Arabidopsis thaliana: one gene and its partners. The protein of the gene in region 2 interacts with the protein of the main gene of each other region in a biochemical or structural test. Each region holds a gene or a part of one and is shown on either strand. Other genes may lie near its edges.

Region 1 (4,543 bases), about 19 Mb from region 2:
GCCAAGAATTACTTTTGTTCGTCTCTTGGAACCGTTAACATCGGCAACAGAAAAAGTGTAATAAAAAAAAACTGTTTTCTTTTCGTTCGGATGCTGAGATTTGTTTTGCAAATTTAGAACTAGCTAAATTGGGTCAAAAGTTATAGGTTACACGTAAAATTATTACAGCAATTTCTCCCCTAATAACTTTGGGCTTTAGGCCCAATAACAGAAGGCCTTAAAGTGGCATACTTAGGGTTTAGTGAAAAAGCAATCGTCATCCTTGACTCAGGGGTCAGGTCAAATCCAGGAGAAGAAGAGGTAATCATTCTACACAGATAGAAACATTTATTTTTTGTTTAATCAAAAGCTAACATTTTGTTGTGACAGTTCTCGTGTTTTCTTAATATAGATGGCAAGACTGATAATCGTGCCAGAATCCGTCTTATTAATCAAGACAAGAACAAATACAACACTCCAAAGTATCGGTTTGTTGTTAGATTTGTATCCTTTTAATTAGTTCATCACATTCCCAGTTGTTAGTGGTGTCTGTTTACATTCTTCCTATCGAGTTTTGTTTGGCCTTGAATGTGAGGAAAGCTAACTTGATTGACCGTATTCGTACACTTCACTCAGCTGCTGAAGCCATATCAATGAAGTTGACGACGAGTGAAAACGTTTCTTCTCTTTAAAAAACTGTATTTCCATCTAGTTTTGATCTTACTTTCGTGGCTTTGAATTTTTACTTTTCATATAGCATCGTTATATTACTCTTTACCTAATTTCCCTACTGTACTTGTGAATTTTCCCGTCGACGTATGTGCAAGTTACTAATTTTATGCAAGTTGTGAATTTGCAAGCGTTTTAATTTCTAAACGAAAGAATACTAATCAGAAACTTAGAAAATTTGACAAGATTAACTAAACATTGTATATGTCTATCGACCACTACTACATTATTTCAATGTGTAAGCATATTTTTTATCATTTAAAATGAAAAACAGAATGGACAATGATAAATCAACGAACGACATTAGCAGAAGTGTGTGGTGTTTCTATTTATCAGCACAAATAGAAAACAATGATAAAATACAGAAGTGGTGATGCAGTGGATTTATCATTTGATTGCTGGACTGTCATTTTTGTTATTAAATCTTATGAACTTTATTTTTTTCTTATAAATATATTATATATAACACATTTAACTAAATTAGATCTCATAAATTTGTTGTAGATTTTTTTTTTTTTTTTGCTATTCCCAGCAATCTACTTAAAAACGAATCCCATCATCACCCAAACATGCTAAGTGTAGCAGAAGGGATAATATTTTGTAGGTAAGGAAACAAATATTTTATTAACCTGTAAATAAAAAATGAAAACCAATTATACACATATTTAAAAACTACCAAACTTAGTATAGTATTATTTTTTTTAAAAAAAATTATAATAACAAAATAATAATAATAATAAATGGTAAGACTTATTTTGAATTATGTTTATTAATAATATTTTTGAGGTTTCTTTGTAAGTGATGGTGATTACATAGAAACTTCATATCAAATATCTATATATTTTAAAATTTCAAGTAAATTGATTTTTCAAAAAATATTATTCTATACTAAATTTAAAGTATATGAAAATACAGAAAATTGTTTACAAAAATGAACACAAATTAGGAAATGAATATGAAGAGTATGTATCCAAATTGTATTGCCATGTTTGCATTTAATTTAAGAGGGTGTATGAAAAGCAAAAAATCTTCTTCTAACAACTTACCTAAAATCATCTCACTTATACACTTCCATAAATTAATTAGTTTTTTTGTATTCATTAGCTGGAAATATATTAAGATTATTTAGTTTTTTTTTTTCCATATGGAAAAGGAAATTCACAGCAGAATTCCTATAAGTTAAAAAAACTTACCTTAAAACTATCAAAATATATCAAAACTCATATCTCCTGGGTCCTCCTGGACCTGGACTTAAACATCCATACTTACACATATCCACTCTATATAAGTTTAGTTCACTACCACTAAACCCAACCAAAGCAAAAACATCACTTCTCTCAACAGAATAGTTTGAGGTTGTGTGAGACAAAAAGAAAACCATGGAGCCAACTAACGATGCTGAGACATTGGAAACTCAAGGAGAGGTTACAACCGCTATTTGGCCGTCATCTCAAATCCTCAAGACGACTATCGATATTCCGGGGACTCTCAGCCATGACGGCAGATACATCCAGTACAATCTATTTGGGCATATCTTTGAACTCCCCGCAAAGTATAAGCCACCGATTAGGCCTATTGGCAGAGGTGCTTGTGGCATCGTTTGGTAATATCCTTTTAACAGAATTAATAGTTTCATTTCTTTTCCTAATCATTTTGAGCACTTTAGAATGTAGATGCCATGACCATTTTTGTGTGTAATTTATGGTTTGGGTTGATAAGTTTCATCTTTTTATGAGAAAAGTTCAAATCGTTTCTATCATAGAGATCTCTAAACAGTTATTATACCATTCATGACTTTTATGTTATTCTTGTTACTTTTAAAATTTCCTCACTTGACACATTAGTTTTTACTTTTCTTTTTAACTTTTTTTACAGTTCGGCTGTGGACTCCGAGACCAATGAGAAGGTAGCAATAAAGAAAATAACGCAAGTATTTGATAACACTATCGAAGCAAAGAGAACTCTTCGTGAAATCAAGCTTCTTCGTCACTTCGATCATGAGAATGTTCGTTTGATTTTATAACTATTGTCTCACCTTTTTTCTTTTATTTTGTTATTCATTAAAAGCTAACTATGTAATATCATTTTTCTATAGATTGTTGCAATCAGAGACGTAATCTTGCCTCCTCAGAGAGATTCATTCGAAGATGTTTACATTGTGAATGAATTGATGGAGTTTGACCTTTATCGAACCTTAAAATCAGATCAAGAACTAACCAAAGATCATGGCATGGTGTGTGTTTAGAGTTATTGTTTCTTGAAACTTAAAAATCATTTTGATTAGTGAGCTTGACACAATCTTCAAATTTTTGGCAGTATTTCATGTACCAAATCCTGCGCGGATTAAAGTACATTCATTCAGCCAATGTGCTACACAGAGATCTAAAACCAAGCAATCTCCTCTTGAGTACACAATGTGACTTAAAGATTTGTGATTTCGGGCTCGCTCGTGCAACTCCTGAGAGTAATTTAATGACTGAGTATGTTGTCACAAGATGGTACCGTGCACCTGAGCTTCTGTTGGGCTCTTCTGACTATACCGCAGCAATAGATGTTTGGTCTGTTGGCTGTATTTTCATGGAAATAATGAACCGTGAACCGCTCTTCCCGGGGAAAGATCAAGTTAATCAGCTTCGTTTGCTTCTGGAGGTAGTAAAGTAAAACCCTTTGTTGTGCCAAGATCATATTCGTTTTTTGTGATTCATGATTAGCTTAAAAAGTCTTGGGACATTGTTTTGCAGCTCATTGGCACTCCATCTGAAGAAGAGCTTGGATCGTTGAGTGAATACGCTAAGCGATACATAAGGCAGCTTCCTACGCTTCCTCGCCAATCTTTCACTGAGAAATTCCCGAACGTGCCTCCCTTAGCAATAGACTTGGTGGAGAAGATGCTAACATTTGATCCTAAACAGAGAATCTCAGGTCAGTTTCTGTCTCCATATAGCCTCTTCTGCAGTTTTATTTGGATTCTTATCATCAGTTTTGCCACTTTGCAGTTAAAGAAGCACTTGCTCATCCATACCTTAGCTCGTTTCACGACATTACCGATGAACCAGAGTGCTCAGAGCCCTTCAATTTCGATTTAGATGAACATCCATTCTCTGAGGAGCAGTTTAGAGAGTTAATCTACTGTGAAGCCCTAGCTTTCAACCCTGAAACCAGCAATGATTGAAAAGGACCATATCTTTGATCCTTGTTCTGTTTTTTTCTTTTCCTTCTCTGCTTTTCTTTGAATAATTTCCCTTTTCATTTCCTTTAATTTTTTCATCTCTCAGAAATTTTGTTGTGCTAAGATTTTCTGCTAGATTCCCTTTTGATGTTGTCAAATTTCATTTTTAAGCAAATAAACTGAAAAACCATGATTCTGTGGGCATCATTGCGACTTTCAATCCAACAAATATTAATACATGAGCTATTGTCAAAAATATAACATTGCAACAAGGAAGAAAGCAATCATATCCTACTTTGAGTATTTTGATTGAAGACAATCTTACTCTTTGTAATAGTTCATTTGCAGTTTTGCTTTTGTCAATTCTTCAAATTGCCAAAGAATCTAGAGAGTGGTACAGGGCCATCGGTTTCGTGTTTACTTTTGCTAGAGTGTTTGTCTCTGCTGGACTTGTGCTTCTTCTCCTTCTTTGATCTTTTCGAACTTGATCTTGATCTTCTAGATTCATCTTCATCACTGCTAGATGACGACTCTGAGGACGAATAATGCTGCAAATTCATAACACAACCGATCATGGTTCATGTTAGCATAAGCTAGAAAACCTCACACTATCTGATATAAGCTAAACTTTTAGAAGGCACCTTTCTCTTTTTGCTTTTCTTCTTC
Region 2 (5,298 bases):
CGCGTTGCAGCCATGATTGCTGCTGCTAACGTGCAACAGTACCTTGCAAAGATTCAAGCTGATGCGATACCTGAACACTATGAAGCAGAATTGGAAATCAATGATTTCCCACAGAATGCTCGGTGGAAAGTTACCCACAAAGAAACGCTGGGACCAATATCAGAGTGGAGTGGAGCTTCCATTACCACTAGAGGTAAGTTTTATGAGGCAGGACGTATCCCGGGACCTGAGGAACGCAAGCTCTATTTGTTCGTCGAAGGGCCTACCGAAATATCTGTTAAGACAGCGAAAGCTGAACTCAAGCGTGTTCTTGAAGACATAACTAACCAAACCTTCTCCCTTCCTGGAGGAGCACAATCAGGCAGATACTCTGTTTTATAAAATCATGAGGTTTTTGATTCTAGGATTTTTTAAAAATTATTCAGAAAACTAGTAAGTATTGATTGATGTTGTTGAATACTTGAATACATACAATCTCTCCACAATTGCAAAATCTTTTTATAGACTTGACTTGGTTTCCTTATTAAAAACAAAATTCTGAATCAAACCCCATAATATATAAAGAAAGCTGTCAACTTTAAAACAATAGAGTTGCCGTCATTTACTTAACACTGATCTTGAACCATTACACTCAGTCCTAGGACTTATCTTTTACACAAATACACAACAACTGAACAAAAAGTTATGACGAGATTTTAGTACAAGAGTAACGGGTGGATGAGAATGAGGCTGTCTTGCAACTAGTAGAAAAACCCCTTACATATATTATACCTACCATTCACCCAACTAGTCCTGGTCAAAATCTGCGGAAGCCCCCTATAGCTTCAAAACTTGGCTTATGTTTCTCCTCAAAACAACAAAGACCTTTTACACAATTCCCACATGATGATGCAGTGACACGATTGTGATTCCAGTGACGTATAACACCAAAGTTTATTAAACATGGGAAACCAATGAGTAAACCTGCCAATACGGTGAGAACCATATAACTCTTATGCAAGACTTTACAAAGTTTGCAAGAAGCCTGAACTGGTGCTAATACTCAAAATACCGTAGTGTATATATCTTGTATCCCAGACTGTGACTAACTATAGAACTCTTATTGCAAACCTTAGAGTTAGAGAACTGTCACTAGACTTATATCTAACCATGAACTCATGTGACTTCTAATAGTAGTGAAATGTTTTCTTGTACTGAATTTAAAAGGTCAGAGGAAAAAGAGGGAAAAACACTTACTTGCTAGCTGATGGCTCATATTTTTGTTATGCTGATTTGTCGCTTGTTGAGTTCTTGACAAGGGAAACAACGCTTGGGAGCTCGGTCGTCACGTTGTCATATGATAAGAGGACTTTCCTCTGCAGCATCATTACAATCCGACTAGCTGAGGTTAGATTAAATTTGATCACGCAAGCGCAAAAAAACTCATTTCAATGTAAGGAACCAAAGATCATAAAAGAAGTGCCTCCAACTCATTGGTTGAGAGTGAAATAGTTTCAGACTCTGAGAAAGTTGGTCATCACAAATCTTTTATCGCAAATTTAACACTTACAGTGGATTCTAAATCAGGGTTTGATAAGTTAACTGTGAGGTTTCTCATCAATAACAGAACCTGTAAACACCATACTATGTGATTAGTGAAGAAATGCTAAGAGCTTGAACACCAATTAATCTGAAAGCTTGTAAACTCTTGACTCACAGTTTCGAAATTTATAGGATCCATTTCCTTGAGCTTTTCCACATGGCCTCTCGTTTCAGGATCAAAGACACTCCCAATGAAATTATAAACTTCAGCAAAATCAGGAACACCTACAAAGATAGTATCAGTACAGTCTCCATCATGCATAAAAGTTAGTGAAAAAACATGGAATTGTTCACAGATGGTTACCGTGAAGCACTGGAGGCTGTTTAGCCTTTCTTACAATCTCAGAACCTGATACTGTTCGGCTTGAGCTTCCCATGCCAGATGTAGAAGGGCTACTAACATTTAATAAGCCCTTTGATCCAATATCAGCTGAATCAGTGGCGTTATATGCCATAATAAGCACATGAAACGTCCTTTGATGGAACCTATTCTTACTACAACTACCAATAAAATGAAGAAAACAAAAAGGATAGACAAATGTGCATGCCTTCTGCTCCACGAAGAGTAGCAAGTTCATGTTGTGGTGAAATAACTCTGTTTAGCAGCATTGAGGCATCATCCCATGAAGCATATCCCGGCATGTCGCCATTTCGCGTAGTAGTAAAAGACGTGGAAACTTGAAGTGGCATTTGAGCTGCAAGAAAATGTGAGTTAAAAACTCAACTCTATAACCAAACTAAGAAGTATTATAAAATATTCGAACCGTTCTTTGATGCCTTTTGAGGATACGGATGAGCTGCTTTGCGCTTAGGTCGAGGAGGTGGCACATGAGCTAATGTCCCGTTTTTCTGAACCTTGAGAAAGTATTTTTGAGCATGACTCCTTATCTGCAGTACAAAGTCAAATAAGTTGAAAACATTGCCACAAAGTAACTGCGACCAAAAATGCAGAGTAAGCTATTTTAAAACCTGAATCACAGTCTTTGAACCAACAAAATCTTCAATCTTCTTCCAGTCACGATCAAACCTAAGGAACATAGAGGAGTAGTAGTATCAGCAGAATCAGGTCCTAGTTACATCAATAACACTTTCAAAAAGTCAACACAACTATAAATTTATTACAGTTGAAGTGCTCCAAGAAGCAGATCTTTTTAGCTAAGCAGATTTTTTATAGCTAAGTTACTACTAGACCTAAGCTAAGTAACATAAACTTTCCTCTGTTTGTTCAGTCTATAACTAACTAAACTCAGAAATCAGCAGCAAACTAAGAAATTTGAAGTCTCTAAAAACAGAGAAACAGAGATAAATTATTACAGTTGAAGTGCTTCAAGAAACTTATCGTGCTCTTCCTCTGTCCAGCTCTCTCTTGACTTGGTGATGGTATATGGTTTCCTCACTTTCTTAGACGAACCCTCTGCCACAGCATCCGTCGATGTTGGTGGTGGCGGAGGTGCTTCGGCGTTCGTTGGATTTCTTGACGGCGACGAGCTCATCGGTTATTTTTCAGATAAAGACAGGTGTAAGAGAGAATGCAGAGAGAGAAAGTAGGAAAAAGAAAAGTCCACATGGCGGGGAAGAAGTTGGGATGTGTATGTGGAGTAGGTTTCACTTTGATCTCAGACCATCCATTTTTCTGACTTTTTTTATTATTATTTCATTCTTTCCTACCACTTCATTTAGAGCCTCAAGCTTGAAGCACGTGTAGACTTGTAGTCTTTTGATTTCATGAAAATGAATCCAAAAAAACGAAAGAGTTTTATACTTTAATTAAAACAAGTGGCCTAACATTTATCTTTAACTTGCGAGTTTGTGGCCATCAAGCCATACAAGCTTTGGAAAAACCTGGCGGACAAAAGAGCTGAACTCTTCACCTGCAAATATTAGGTCGTTGTCTCTAATATCTAACTGCTTCAGTTTCATCAAATCTCTAAGCACCAAATACGCATCCTAGTATATACCAAGCACCTCTCTTCCAATTTCACCCGAATTAGAGGGCGGCCAAGAACAAAGGTACCTTGTTGTGTCCACTGGGTGCTTGCCGCCCATGTCGTTATGTGAAACATCCAACACTTTAGCTGCTTCAGATGTCTTAGAGAGTCAAGGGATGAAAAGCTCCGATTTAGGCAACAGAGAATTCGGTTTTGTATTCAAATCTTACGAAACAAATACAACAAGTCGATATGTCCGAGTGGTTAAGGAGATAGACTTGAAATCTATTGGGCTTCGCCCGCGCAGGTTCGAACCCTGCTGTCGACGTTTTTTTTTATTATTGATCTTTAATATATAAAATTAAAAGATTCCGAACCATTTGAATTTATACCTCTTCAATACATGGCTGTATATATGTAAGGACCAAGAATAATATACCATCTTCATTACATTAGAAGAAGAAAAAATATTTTGAATCTCTAACAATTTTTTCATTTTAACTGTTTTGATCAAAATGGTCTTTCACCTTCGTAATTCCCGCGTGGATCATATTCACACACCACAAGATAGCCACGACCGTTATGGCATTTCACACGTGCGCATCCAACGGCTGTGGTCTCTCTCCACACCATCTGCGTGTAATGGCCGCACATCTTTCCCGGTGCGCACGTGTTTGTTTTCACGTCGTAGTTAAACCTTTCCTCAAACCATCTCGTCACCACTTTCTCCGGCGACCACGTCTTCTTACGCCGGTGCCAGAAAATGTTCTCACCGTAAGGCCCACCTGAATGTATCATACTGCAATCGGACTTACGTTGTTTAGCCCATTTATCAGCGAATCGGGCCAGGTCTCTGTCCCATCCGAGCGTTGGCACGCCTGAAGAAACACGTGCATCGTTGTGCGCTTGTAGAAATTCTCTCGACAGTTTTGCTCTTCTCGCTCTGTTTACCAAACGCGCCGCCGTGTTCACCGCGTCGGGGATGGAGGTTCCGAGGACGGAGGGATGACCGGAAAAGAGAAGGAAGAGAAGAAGAAGACATGATGATGGATGAGACAACGTTACAGACATCTCCACGTCTCTGTATAATTTTGTCTCTCATCATGATTCCTCTGTTTCTAAGGGAGTTTTTTTTGTTACTTTTGTTCAGTTAGAGATTTTTCCATTTTCTGACATTTTAACAAATTTTCCTGATTCTGTTGTTTCATATCAAACAATTCTTATTGGTGATGATGAGAAAACTACCGTATATTTTTAGATTAAAAAAACGAAATTATTAAGGTTGTTATACTTTTCACAACCCAACAAAAGCTAAAAAGAAAAACAATTCCGTCAACAGCAGGATTCGAACCTGCGCGGGCAAAGCCCAATTGATTTCGAGTCAATCTCCTTAACCACTCGGACATATTGACTTTTGCTCATTGTTTCTACTATATTATATATATACTCAGATATTATCAGTACCAAAATAAACAAACAAAAATAAAAGCTTTTGGAGATAGAAGAAGAGTCTGGGAGAGCTCTTTTACTCATAGCAGTTAAGAAGACATGGAACAGAAAGAAAAAGACAATCCCGAAAGTCGTTTTATTTTCTTAAATATTTAAAACAAGATAGCAGACGAAGTATTAAGCAACAAAATCCATTACACTTATTTAAAATCATTATAAGCCAAAATAGACGGCCTATAAGCAATCACCAGTCTTCCTACTCTTCATTGGTCTTCATCTTCCGCAGGACTAAGGTCGTCTCTTGGGCTGTATCCGTCTCTAGGACAACGGTCCTCTCTGG
Region 3 (4,301 bases), on a different chromosome or scaffold from region 2:
GGGGAGAAAGAAAGACAAAAGTGATTCAACCATAAACATATAGTTGGAATATTCATTGTTAATTTAAATTTCTGATGGGTTTACAAAAATTGGAAAATCCTCCAAGTTATTTATATACTATGAAAAGAAAAATGAATTATGAGAAGGAAAGTTGGTGTAGAAGAAAAAGCTTTTAGCCTTTAAGGCTTTTTAACCAATAGAAGCAACATATCATGTGTTGACAAAAAAATGAAGCATATCATGTGATAAATGAATGAGGAGGGTACTGATACTACTCACCAAAATTATCTTATAGAACTTCATTAAGAAATTGAAAGAAAAACAATACATTGTTTTTGTTACGATTTGGAAAGTTAGGTTCGGTGCAAAGGCCTACCCCTTCTATGAATCCGAAGGCCTATGATCATGGTGTGATCATCAAATATTCATATAACAAAATGCTTAATTGTTGATATTCTTAGATTTAAGCTATATGAGAACAACTATATGAAAACTTGATTCATCAAAAGGCTTGGATTGCATGAGAGGGTTAAAAGTTCTGCAAGAACGCAACAAACAAACAGAGAAACAGAAACACAGCTCTCTCTATGAACATATGTTACAGACACACATCAAGCTTGTAATTAAAAAAAAAACACAGCTCTTTCTATGTACATATGTTACAGACACACATCAAACTTGTAATTAAAAAAAAAAAACAGCTCTCTCTATGTACATATGTTACAGACACACATCAAGCTTGTAATTAAATAAAACAGAGCTTCCATGGCATCACTATTCGCTTAAACTATAAGTTAGTCTTCATCTTATTTTTCAAGACTATATACACTATGAGTCTATGATGACAATCAGACATAAGAAGAAGAAGTTTTCTGTAAATTACCCGTACAAACAAGACTTGAGCTCAGAGCTCAGTGTTTAAGGTTGAAGCTTGTGGATGGTAGTGAAGCATCTCATTCCACATCATTTCTCTTATCATCTCCTCTCTCAAATCCTCATCTACATCGAGATCGATAGGAACTTGAGCAGGAGGGTTTGCATTCGGGTCATATAGAGGCGCCATGTATGGATGCTGGAGTGCTTCAGAGACACTAATCCTCTTTGACGGATCAAAAACAAGCATTTTCTGCAGAAGGTCGATGGCCAAAACATGAGCGCCCGGGTAAAGTCTGGATAAAGACATCCCAGGTGAGTACGGAAGTGATCTAATGTATCTTTTAGCTTTCGGGTTATCTATGAACTCAAGATCTTCTTCTCTTTGGCTTCCGAGAATGTTGACAATGAGCTTCAGCTGGTTAAGACATTCCGTTCCTTGGAATATCGGTTTCCTACCAAGAAGCTCGGCGAAAATGCAACCAACAGACCAAACATCAATGGATGTTCCATAGTTGTCACAACAGAGGAGAAGCTCTGGGGCTCGGTACCAACGAGTCACAACATATTCAGTCATGAACTGACCCTTGGTGTTGCTCGCACGCGCTAGTCCAAAATCGCATATCTTTAAATCGCAGTTTGCGTTGACAAGAAGGTTACCAGGTTTCAAATCTCGGTGCAGGATATTGGCTGAATGAATATACTTGAGCCCTCGAAGCAACTACACAAAAAGAACAAAGCAAAGCAAAATTTCAGGAGAAAGCAAAGCTAGAACCAACAGTAAATGAACGGGATCAACCACACACCTGGAACAAGAAGTATTGGCAATGATCGTTACTAAGAACTTGAGAAGACTTGATAATCTGGTGGAGATCAGTGTCCATGAGCTCATAAACAAGATAAACATCCTTGAAGCTCATCTTATGAATTGGCATCATGACATCTTTCAAAGCAATGACATTCTCATGTCGAAGATGGCGTAGAAGCTTGAGCTCCCGAAGAGTCCTCAACGCATCGATCCTATTCTCATAAACATTGTGAATCTTCTTGATAGCAACTTTCTCGTTGGTGTCACTGTTAACAGAGGAGCAGACAACACCGTAAGCTCCACGACCAATAGGCTTGATAGGCATGTACTTAGTGTCGATCTCGAACAGAGTTTGCCACATTGAGAAGTAATGCTTCCCTTCATTCCTTATCCCATTAGGAGGATCAACCAAAGTCGCCATTTTTTGTTTTCCCTCTTCATCACAATTCACACACAATCAAGAAATCAAATTTACACACACAATTAACAAATTATTATACTAACTATTTATCAAAACTTTTCAAGTGATAAGTTACTGTAGATTTCTTGTGTAAACAGATTGGTCTGTTAATAATAGTGAAAAGGAAAAAGATCAAACTTTATCGATTTGGTGAAGGAACATAAACGATCGGAATCAATGGGAAAAAAGTTTACGGGATAAAGCGGGAAGGAAATTCTAACCGGTGATAAGTGACCAACGACGTTCCCCGGAGGTTAGATTTGGCCGGAGAGAGAAACCTGTGGAAGTGAGAGAGATTTGGCCAACGCTCGGACAGTTGACCTGCTACTTGTTCGTTACTAGGTAGTCTTTCCTTATATAATTTGGGCTTAAGTTGAGCCCAATTAATATTGGCAAACAGATTCACGTCTCTATCTTCTAAAATCAATTTCGGTATTTTTTAGTAACTGATCACCAAAGTAGCATCATTTGTGAATATGTGTTCTACGAAGATTTATAAAAATTGAAAATGAAGAAAAGTATTTTAAAGTAAAATATATCATAAATGTAAACAATGACACATGACTAAAATATTGCATCACCAATTCACCATCTTCTTTTGCTTTAACTTTACGTTTCCATCACACATCTTTTCATTTTGCTAAAATTAGCATCTAGAGGAAAATAAACTACAAAAGATTTAAAAGTTTTCATTAAGTCAGATTATTAATATAAGAGAGGAGGCCCATGCAGACAGAAAGGGAAAGCCCATAAATCTAAGCAGTGGCAAAAATGTTAGAAACTGTATAAAATGATACTAATAAATTGGTTGGAGTCTATTATAGTAGCAAATAAAAATAACGTTAGGTATTTTTGATTAAATAAAAGATGTTAGGTATCATTATGATCACTCATTCTCTTCAACCAATTATGTCAATACTACAGCTCATCAAAAGCCTTTATGGTAAAGCATGTTTCAGATATTTTCATTATTCATATACACACTACACAACATATAGTATTAAAGAAAATAAATAGTGTATAGATATTTAGAGATTTCCAACTAATTCAACATAACCAATACAGCTTTTAATCATTATCTAAAACCAGACAAAGATTCTTTCCAGTTGGTTTTCCCTGTTCTATTTCCTTACAAACAGTTATTGACTATTGAGCATTGCCTTCACTGTTGAGAAAAATTTGTGTAAATCTTACGCACTGTCAAGCAACTGCATGCATTCTCTAAATAATTACCTGACTCTAGATATAAAAGAACTGAATTAATGTAAAAAAAATATAAGCAAAATATCTAGGAGACAGATATTGACGGGTTACTTCAAGTTTGGACAAAAATAATTAAGAACACAAAAAATGCCGTTGAAACCTTTTCTTTTTGTAGTACAGTTTTTAGTTTTGTTGCTAACGTTCAAATTATTTATTTATTCATCGCTTATCTTGTTTTGTGGATTAGACAACCACGAAAAACAATGCTAGGGTTGTCAGAAACACCAAATATTCGAATTTGCATCCAAAATTCGATACTCATCTTGAACTTTTTTGTTTGTGACATTTTATTAAAAATTTCAATTTTTCCTAAAAGAATTTTACTTTAAATATTTAAAAAGAAGAAGCATGTTCATTTTTCAATATATCTGGTCCCCATATTAAAACAAGCAACAATAATTGACAATCTCTTTCTTTCATCTTCATCTTATTCTTCTTTATCTCTCTCTCTCTCTCAAGACTATTGAGCTTCTTTCTTTTTTCCTGAGTCTTTTAGTCTGATCTCTTACAAGAATGGCGTTCGCAGGAACAACCCAGAAATGCATGGCATGTGACAAAACAGTTTATCTTGTCGACAAGTTAACCGCCGATAACCGGGTCTACCACAAAGCTTGTTTCCGATGTCACCATTGCAAAGGAACTCTCAAGGTTTGATCTTTGATTCTAGTTTGTGATGATTTCTCATTAATCCAGAAGTAGATCTAGTAGATATATATGTAGATGAAGAAGTCCAATCAATTAAGTAGAAATCTTTGAATTTTTGGCTATGGAAACTGATTGGTCTAAAGATTTGACTGTTCTGTTTCTTCTTCTTCTTCTTCTTCTTCTTGATGAGTCAGCTTAGCAATTACAACTCCTTTGAAGGAGTTCTCTACTGCAGACCACATTTCGATCAAA

What was found. The genes of interacting proteins can lie anywhere in the genome.
Region 1: of the proteins of RVE8 (region 2) and MPK10, one has a biochemical effect on the other in vitro, tested with the Arabidopsis thaliana proteins (one large-scale study listed by BioGRID).
Region 3: of the proteins of RVE8 (region 2) and MPK1, one has a biochemical effect on the other in vitro, tested with the Arabidopsis thaliana proteins (one large-scale study listed by BioGRID).

The regions. Positions count from the first base shown.
Region 1 is NC_003074.8:22,090,361-22,094,903, forward strand, and holds MPK10 (MAP kinase 10), read left to right. Parts: upstream 1-2,039; 5' UTR 2,040-2,087; coding exon 2,088-2,311; intron 2,312-2,583; coding exon 2,584-2,713; intron 2,714-2,803; coding exon 2,804-2,941; intron 2,942-3,024; coding exon 3,025-3,357; intron 3,358-3,449; coding exon 3,450-3,630; intron 3,631-3,704; coding exon 3,705-3,880; 3' UTR 3,881-4,043; downstream 4,044-4,543. Other genes in the region: AT3G59800 (stress response protein), read right to left, coding at 4,237-4,425, 4,519-4,543.
Region 2 is NC_003074.8:2,944,235-2,949,532, reverse strand, and holds RVE8 (Homeodomain-like superfamily protein), read right to left. Parts: upstream 3,295-5,298; 5' UTR 3,075-3,294; coding exon 2,896-3,074; exon of another isoform or gene 2,620-2,895; coding exon of another isoform or gene 2,609-2,619; coding exon 2,551-2,608; intron 2,470-2,550; coding exon 2,346-2,469; intron 2,277-2,345; coding exon 2,130-2,276; intron 2,012-2,129; coding exon 1,886-2,011; intron 1,807-1,885; coding exon 1,697-1,806; intron 1,610-1,696; coding exon 1,550-1,609; coding exon of another isoform or gene 1,517-1,549; exon of another isoform or gene 1,378-1,516; coding exon of another isoform or gene 1,356-1,377; coding exon 1,263-1,355; 3' UTR 1,237-1,262; exon of another isoform or gene 964-1,236; 3' UTR 516-963; downstream 1-515. Other genes in the region: AT3G09620 (P-loop containing nucleoside triphosphate hydrolases superfamily protein), read left to right, coding at 1-381; AT3G09590 (CAP (Cysteine-rich secretory proteins, Antigen 5, and Pathogenesis-related 1 protein) superfamily protein), read right to left, coding at 4,020-4,580. UniProt on the Arabidopsis thaliana protein: Transcriptional activator of evening element (EE)-containing clock-controlled genes. Forms a negative feedback loop with APRR5. Regulates the pattern of histone H3 acetylation of the TOC1 promoter.
Region 3 is NC_003070.9:3,347,380-3,351,680, reverse strand, and holds MPK1 (mitogen-activated protein kinase 1), read right to left. Parts: upstream 2,600-4,301; 5' UTR 2,363-2,599; exon of another isoform or gene 2,117-2,362; 5' UTR 2,103-2,116; coding exon 1,680-2,102; intron 1,595-1,679; coding exon 905-1,594; 3' UTR 501-904; downstream 1-500. Other genes in the region: WLIM1 (GATA type zinc finger transcription factor family protein), read left to right, coding at 3,918-4,052, 4,244-4,301.